2 linked regions of the Ovis aries genome follow. The protein of the gene in region 1 purifies or fractionates together with the protein of each later gene. This does not show direct contact. Links are inferred from orthologs where the notes say so. Each region holds a gene or a part of one and is shown in the gene's direction. Other genes may lie near its edges.

What was found.
Region 2: the proteins of GOSR1 (region 1) and STX12 purify together in Homo sapiens (affinity purification with mass spectrometry; 3 studies listed by BioGRID and IntAct, counting the BioPlex papers as one, with this or other methods). This does not show direct contact. The link is inferred for Ovis aries from reciprocal best matches to the Homo sapiens genes GOSR1 and STX12.

What each region holds. Positions count from the first base shown.
Region 1 is NC_056064.1:21,501,566-21,505,382, forward strand, and holds part of GOSR1 (Golgi SNAP receptor complex member 1), read left to right. Parts: intron 1-3,401; coding exon 3,402-3,615; 3' UTR 3,616-3,817. UniProt on the Homo sapiens protein: Involved in transport from the ER to the Golgi apparatus as well as in intra-Golgi transport. It belongs to a super-family of proteins called t-SNAREs or soluble NSF (N-ethylmaleimide-sensitive factor) attachment protein receptor.
Region 2 is NC_056055.1:239,319,137-239,323,053, reverse strand, and holds the start of STX12 (syntaxin-12), read left to right. Parts: upstream 1-1,266; 5' UTR 1,267-1,360; coding exon 1,361-1,478; intron 1,479-2,166; exon of another isoform or gene 2,167-2,181; coding exon of another isoform or gene 2,182-2,227; intron 2,228-3,917. UniProt on the Homo sapiens protein: SNARE promoting fusion of transport vesicles with target membranes. Together with SNARE STX6, promotes movement of vesicles from endosomes to the cell membrane, and may therefore function in the endocytic recycling pathway.

The sequences.
Region 1 (3,817 bases):
ATCAGGGTCTTTTCCAATGAGTCAACTCTGTGCATGAGGTGGCCAAGTATTTGAGTTTCAGCTTTAGCATCAGTCCTTCCAAAGAACACCCAGGGCTGAGCTCCTTCAGAATGGACTGGTTGGATCTCCTTGCAGTCCAAGGGACTCTCAAGAGTCTTCTCCAACACCACAGTTCAAAAGCAGTAATTCTTCAGTGCTCAGCTTTCTTCACAGTCCAACTCTCACATCCATACGTGACCACTGGAAAAACCATAGCCTTGACTAGACGGACTTTTGTTGGCAAAGTAATGTCTCTGCTTTTCAATATACTATCTAGGTTGATCATAACTTTCCTTCCAAGGAGTCAGCGTCTTTCAATTTCATGGCTGCAGTCACCATCTGCAGTGATTTTGGAGCCCCAAAATTAAAGTCTGACACTGTTTCCCCATCTATTTGCCATGAAGTGATGGGACCAGATGCCATGATCTTCGTTTTCTGAATGTTGAGCTTTAAGCCAACTTTTTCACTCTCCTCTTTCACTTTCATCAAGAGGCTTTTTAGTTCCTCTTCACTTTCTGCCATAAAGGTGGTGTCATCTGTATATCTGAGGTTATTGATATTTCTCCTGGCAATCTTGATTCCAGCTTGTGCTTTTTCCAGCCCAGTGTTTCTCATGATGTACTCTGCATATAAGTTAAATAAGCAGGGTGACAATATAGAGCCTTGACGTACTCCTTTTCCTATTTGGAACCAGTCTGTTGTTCCATGTCCAGTTCTAACTGTTGCTTGTGCTTTAGACCTGGTGCATTCACTGTCCGAGTCCTGGGATGTCTTTTTACCATTATCCTACAATGACCTCCTTAAATGGAATCACTTATTTCCAGGATTTACTGTCTTCTACTTTCTTAGTTTATCCTCTCATTATGTTGACCATGTTCTTTAGTAGCTTCCTCAGAAAGAATAAGAAGTAAATTTTATGGACTTTACACATCTCAAAAGAGTTTCTATTCTACTCATATTCTTTTTTTTTCCAATTTTATTTATTTCATTTTTGGCTGCACTAGGCCTTTGTTGCTTTGCATGGGCTTTCTCTGGTTGTGGTGGACTAATGCTGCTCTTCATTGCAGCGCGTGGGCTTCTCATTGTGGTAGCTTCTCTTGTTGCAGAGCACAGCCTCTAGGCACACAGGCTCAGTAGTTGCAGCTAGCAAGCCCTAGAGCATGGGCTCAGTGGTTGTGGCGCGTGAGCTTAGTTGCTCCACATGTGGAATCCTCCTGGACTAGGGATCAAACCCATGTCTCCTGCATTGGCAGGCAGATTCCCATCCCCCGGGCCCCAGGGAAGTCCCTATTCTACTCATATTCTTGATTCATTGTTTAGCTAAAAATCAGAATTGTAGGTTGAAAATAATTTTCTCATTTTTTAAGGCATTGTTTCCAGTACTGCTCTTTAAGTCCAGTACCAATTAAAATTTTCTGTCCTTCGTAAATGATGGGCTTCCCTTGTGGCTCAGCTGGTAAAGAATCCACCTGCAATTCGGGAGACCTGGGCTCAGTCCCTGGGTTGGGAAAATCCCCTGGAGAAGGGAAAGGCTACCCACTCCAGTATTCTGGCCTGGAAAATTCCATGGACGGTATAAGTTCATGGGGTCACCGAGAGTCAGACATGACTGAGCAACTTTCACTTTTCGTAAATGATGTTTTTTCCCTCTGGAATCTTTTAGAATCATCCCTTTTCCCCTGTGTTTTTGTTTGTATTTAATCTCACCATGATGAGGTTGACATGCATCATTTTTAGTCTGTTTGATGGGCTCTTACAATCTGAAAACTTATCTTTAGATCTGAGAAATTTTCTTACATTTATCATTTTCTTCCCTCCTCCTTCTTGATCTTCTTTTAAAAAATGTATGCAATTTATATTTGTCAAATATACCTAAATAAAGCAGGGAAGAAAAAGAATTCACCTAAAATACAACTACTACATTGGTTAATAATTTGGTGTGCTTCCATATTTTTCTCTCTGTAGCTCTTCATATCTGTGTAAAATGATTTTAAAAATATTAATATATTCATTTAAAAAGGCAGGTACATGTATAGTCATGCGTTTAGAAAAAGTGGAATGATATTAACCTTAGCAGGTTAGTTTGTGCCATCACCTAACTTATCCATGACTTAAAGCAGTAAGTTGTGACAGGGTCATATGGGTAAGTGTTAACCCATAAAAAGGGAAGGGGGTTTGCTTGTAGAGTGCTAGTTATAGACACTGCAGTGGGGTTCCTCTTCTTGACTAAGGATAAGAACTAGGAGGTCGAAATATATGATGGTCTAGGGAGCTGCCCTACTGTAGCCAGTTACTGAACGGTGGAACAACAACATGCATTTTTCCTGGTTCCTTTTATCTTTCAGTTTATATTTTTTTGAAGTGTAGTTCCTGTTGTTCAATTGCTAAGTCTTGTCTGACTCTTCATGACCCCATGGACTGCAGCATGCCAGGCCTCCTTGTCCCCCACTGTCTCCTGGAGTTTGCCCAAATTCATGTCCATTGCATCAGTGATGCCATCCAACCATCTCATCCTCTGTCAACCTCTTCTCCTTTTGCCTTGAAGCTTTCCCGGCATTGGGGTCTTTTCCAGTGAGTTGGCTTCTCACATCAGGTGGCCAAAGTATTGGAGTTTCATTTGTCCTTCCAATTAATATTCAGGGTTGATTTCCTTTAGGATTAACTGGATTGATGTTCTTGCAGTTCACTAGACTTTTAAGAGTCTTCTCCAGCACGCTTCGAAAACATCAGTTCTTTGGCACTTAGCCTTCTTTATGGTCCATCTCTCAAATCCATACATGGCTACTGCAAAACCATAGCTTTCACTGTATGGACCTTTGTCGGCAAAGTGATATCTCTGCTCTTTAATACACTGTCTAGTTGGTTCTCAAATAGAATTTTGGAATATAATCTTTTCATAAATTAAGGGCTGGTTGTATATAAATATTTTGTGATATACTACACATTTGGTTCTATTTTTATAATTGTAATTCCTTACTTCCCTCTCAAAGAGTTTTTCCTGATTAAGGATATTTTGGTAGCTGGCCCCTTTTAAAACCATTTTAAGAAGCTTTTGTAATGTATGATTTGTCAGTTGTGTTATTTCATTTGTTACTTTGAATTAAAAAAACAAAACAAAACAGGAAATGGTCCACTGCCTTGTCCAAAACAATATCAGAAGATAGCATTGGGGATAAAGTGATCAGAGAAAGAACAGTGGGAAGACGACTTGGGAATTCTTTTCATGTTCCTTCCCAGGTGCTTTTCAAAGCTGGTGTCGTTCACCTTCACCATAGTTTTCTGTTCATGTTTATGAGTACGATGAATCCATGCACGATTGTCTTAAATGTCAATTGATGAGCTTCTCTTTTTCTCCCTTGCAGCATTGCTATGGCAACAAAAGAAAATATGACTTCACAGAGAGGAATGTTGAAATCAATTCAGAGTAAAATGAACACTTTGGCTAGTATCCTTTTTGACGGTTTGAAATCTGTTTTTAGGGGGGAAAATCTCTGTGTGCTTCACCACTCTCTCCCTCCCCTGGGCAGATTGCCGTCAGTAGTGACAGTAGAGGTCATGTGTAATTCTGTATTGTGAATATGCCCTGCACTTGTACTTTGTGAAAGTTCATACTGTTTAGTGCCATTTCTAAAAGATAGCACACCAGAAGTTTCATACTAGTAGATCTCGAAAAAAAATGATAAATATAATTTCCAAGTTATTCACAAAACTATTTTGCATCTTAATAGCTCTTGAATCCACGTTAGAAGTCTACAGTGTACACTGTTTTTACACAGAG
Region 2 (3,917 bases), on another chromosome or scaffold:
TGGGATATAGATGAAGAAGCTATTTGGAGGGATTTAGATGGAGAATGAATTTGGTAATATGAGAATGCATTTTAAGGACATAGCAAGATGACAATACGATTGGCTTAGTGCTTGGGTTTTGCAGTCAAATCTCAGAAAAGCAAATTAACCTCTGTGGCATTAACTTTCTCACCTGAAATAGGGAAAATGATCATGCTTGTTCTGTTACTTTACTTCAATATTTAAAAATAGATTGTCCATTATCTATGACTTCCCTGGTGGCTCAGATGGTAAAGCATCTGCCTACAATGCCGGAAAGCCAGGTTGGGAAGATCCTCTGGAGAAGGAAATGGCAACCCACTCCAGTACTCTTGCCTGGAAAATCCCACGGATGGAGGGGCGTGGTGGTCTACAGTCCATAGGGTCCGTTATCTAGTCTGAAGGTAAGAATAGTTAGGACATCGTCCCTTGGCGTGAAACAGCTTATGAATAACTGAACTGCAGTGGGGTGTGTGTGTGTGTGTCACACATAATATGTGCTTTAAAAATCTTTTCATTACTATTATTATTTTATTGTTTAGGCTTCCCAGGTGGCGCACTGATTAAGTATCCGCCTGCTAATCCAGGAGACACAAGAGACGCTGGTTCTATCCCTGGGTGAGGAAAGATCCCCTGGAGAAGGAAATGACAACTCACTCCCATATTCCTGCCTGGAAACTTCCAGAGACAAGAGGAACCTGGCGGGCTACAGCCCATAGGTTCGCAAAGAGTCGAACACGACTGAGCGACTAAGCACGCAGACTAGAAGAGGGGTGGAGAGAGAAATGAAAGTGATCTGTAAACCATAAAAGTGCTTAAAAAATCCTCCCAAAACCCTAGGGGATGAAAACAGTGAGGAATCTCAGGAGTTTGGTTTACGGATCTGGGTTTCAAGGTTGTCGAATTCTCCATATTTGGGCCTAAGTTCTCAGAATAGACCAGGATAGGATGTTAGGGCTGAGATCATCTGGTACAATTTTATGCTAATCGAAAAATTCTTGCCTTCTGTCGCCGTGCCCTGACAATAAACAACACCGCCACCCCAGATTCTCTCATCCAAGTCCCAACGGCATGACGTCATCGCTCCGCCCCGCAAACTCCAGGGCGTCGCGTCTCTAAGCTACCTTTCAGCCGCCAGCTCCGGCGGCGCCTGCGCAAATGCGGAGCGGGTCGAGCCGGGGCGGTCGCGAGCGCGTCGCGAGGGGGCGGGGCTAGTGCGCACGCAGCTTCATCCCGTCCCCGCCCTTTCTCTTCCCGGTTTCCCTGTCAGCCTGCGGGTCGGGTCTGGCGGCTGTTTCCGGTAGGAGCGCGGTGCAGGTCGAGTCGCTGTCTGCTCCTCGTCATGTCCTACGGTCCCTTAGACATGTACCGGAACCCGGGGGCCTCGGGGCCCCCGCTCCGGGACTTCAACAGCATCATCCAGACGTGCAGCGGCAACATCCAGCGGATCAGCCAAGCCAGTGAGCCGGGGTACCGCGGCGGCTGAGGGGGGCGGGGGCCGTCCTGACGAGGCTGCCGGGACGGCGGAGCCCAGCCGGGGCTACTGCCAAAGCCACACCTGAGGCCGTCTCGGGCGCTCCGCTCTGGACACGGTGGGCTGCCATCCCCTAATCTGCCAGGCCCAGGCACCCTGCGGGTCCGGCGCCTCAACTGAAGCTCGAGTTTCTTCTCAGGAGTTCTGCCCTTAAGGTGTTTTGGGGCTAAGACAGCAGTTCTGACAGCCCCAGGGTGGGAGGGTGTGTTTGCTCCAGAGCAGTGAGTGAGTCGACCTGATGCAGCGGTCAGCCGAGTTTTTCCTGTCATCTGCTTCCCTCCACCCACTTCTCTTTGACCAGTTTGGATCGGGAGTTGTTTACTGGTTTAGACTTTACATTCCGCTCAGCTTCTGGCTTCTTGAAAGTCAGCTGCTTTCAATTAAGCAGAGTGGAGAATGCATGTGTTTTGGTGACTTTAATACAATTCTTCCTGTAATGTTTGGAAGTCAGTTACAATGATTTGTATTCAAGGGGTCAGATGACTTCTATTTTAATAAAAGAGAATTCACCAAAGACACTTCAGTTTACAGTATTTTGTCTTTTGTAGCAGAAGATTTGCGTGTTTTTGGATTTCAAGCTGATGAGTCTTTTGTTTTCCTTCCCCATCTAGTTACTCTTTTGAACAAGCATGATACACAGAGAAGCTCAGGGACATGGCCACAATCACATAGCAAGTAAGACATGGTAGAATTGGTGGTGGATTTCAGAATGTCATTGCTTGTCTTAAAACTGCTTCCCCACTGTTAGGGTCTAAATGAGACTGTAGATGAGTTAAATCTTGTGCCTGAAGATCAGCTCAGAGACTTATAAACAGGAGGTCAGCAGCAGCAGCAACTACTTGGAAGGAATGGTATCATCATCCTTGTTGTTTATTATTGTGTTTTTGTGAGCTTGGCTGTACCTTGTTAATAGGTAGAACTAGTTGGTCCTGAATCACAATTGTGTTCTATATTTTAAAGAAAAATACCACTTAGCTTTTAAATTTAATATGTAATGTAGAATTTGAGAGAGGGAAAGTTTCTGATGGAAATCATTTGAGTCTTGGCGCCTTGGAAGTGGAAAGAAGACTATGTCATCTGTGAAATCCAGAAATTTGAAACAAAAATTTATATGACCACTGGTGGGATTGTCCTGGTGGTCCAGGGAATTTAAGACTCCATGCTTCCACTGCATGGGGCACAGGTTCAAACCCTGGTTGGGGAACTAAGATCCCATATGCTGCACGGTGCAGCCAAAATATAAAAATATTTTTTAAATATATGACCACTGGTTAGGAAGTATAGTACTTTGTGTTCCAGTTTCCTTTTGTGAGGGAGCTGTAATACAGGCTAGATCAGAAAATTCTGATTCAAAGTCAAAAATTTGTTGTTGAGACCAAATCTAATTTTAATGTCTCTTTGTGAAATGTTCAGTCTGTATGCATTTATTTGAGTATCATGCATGTACTGTGTATAAGAACTGGCAGGGAGCCTTTGGCATACATAGGAACTGAAAGGATTTGGTGCTATAGAAGAGATATAATAAAGTTATAGGTAGTCAGGAGAGACATCTTTTTCATGTGGGAGGGACCAGGGAAGGCATTATGGCATTTGAGTTAGGTCTGGCTGGAAAGATGGTGGAAAGGATTTGAACTTTTTACAGTAAATAGGAGAAGGGCATTTAAGGAGGGAATTAAATGAACAAGGCATGGTAGGGGAAAGCATGTGCTGTGTATAGAAAAGTAGAGTTGTTTAATTTGGCTAGCGTGGTGGATTCTAGAACGTAGTGCAAAGTAGACTTGGAAAGTTTAAGCTGGGACCCAGATATGAAGGGCTTTAAGTGCTAACCTAATGGGTTTGGATTTAATTCTGTAGAAATGTGTAAATCGAGTTGGAAGGGAGAGACTGGAATCGGAGATACCAGTTAGGAACTGAAAATGAAAAGAAAGAAAGAATAGGAGAGGTGTCTTTGGCGATAGAATTCATAAGATTTAGCTCTTGGTTAGGCATCAGGCTCAAGTAATAGTTGGATTCAGCCATTAATAACATTAACAGCTAACATTTTTGGTGCATATTGTGTGCCAGGCGATATAAGTGCTTTACAGGCATTATCTAACTTGATTTTGTAACAACCCTTTGAAGTAATTACCAGTATTATTTCTTTTTATGGGTTAGGAAACAGGCTAAGAAATTTGAAACCAGATCTGTCTCTTATGACCAACATTTAGCTTTCTTAAAATTTTTAATTAATATTACAGTTTTGTAGCAGTTAACACTTCAGCAGGTGAGAAGTGACTTTTTTTTTTTTTTTGAACTCTTCGTAGGAAGCTATGGGGAATACCTGAGCTGTGGAACTTTCTCCCCTTGTGGTCTGTCTACCTCTCCT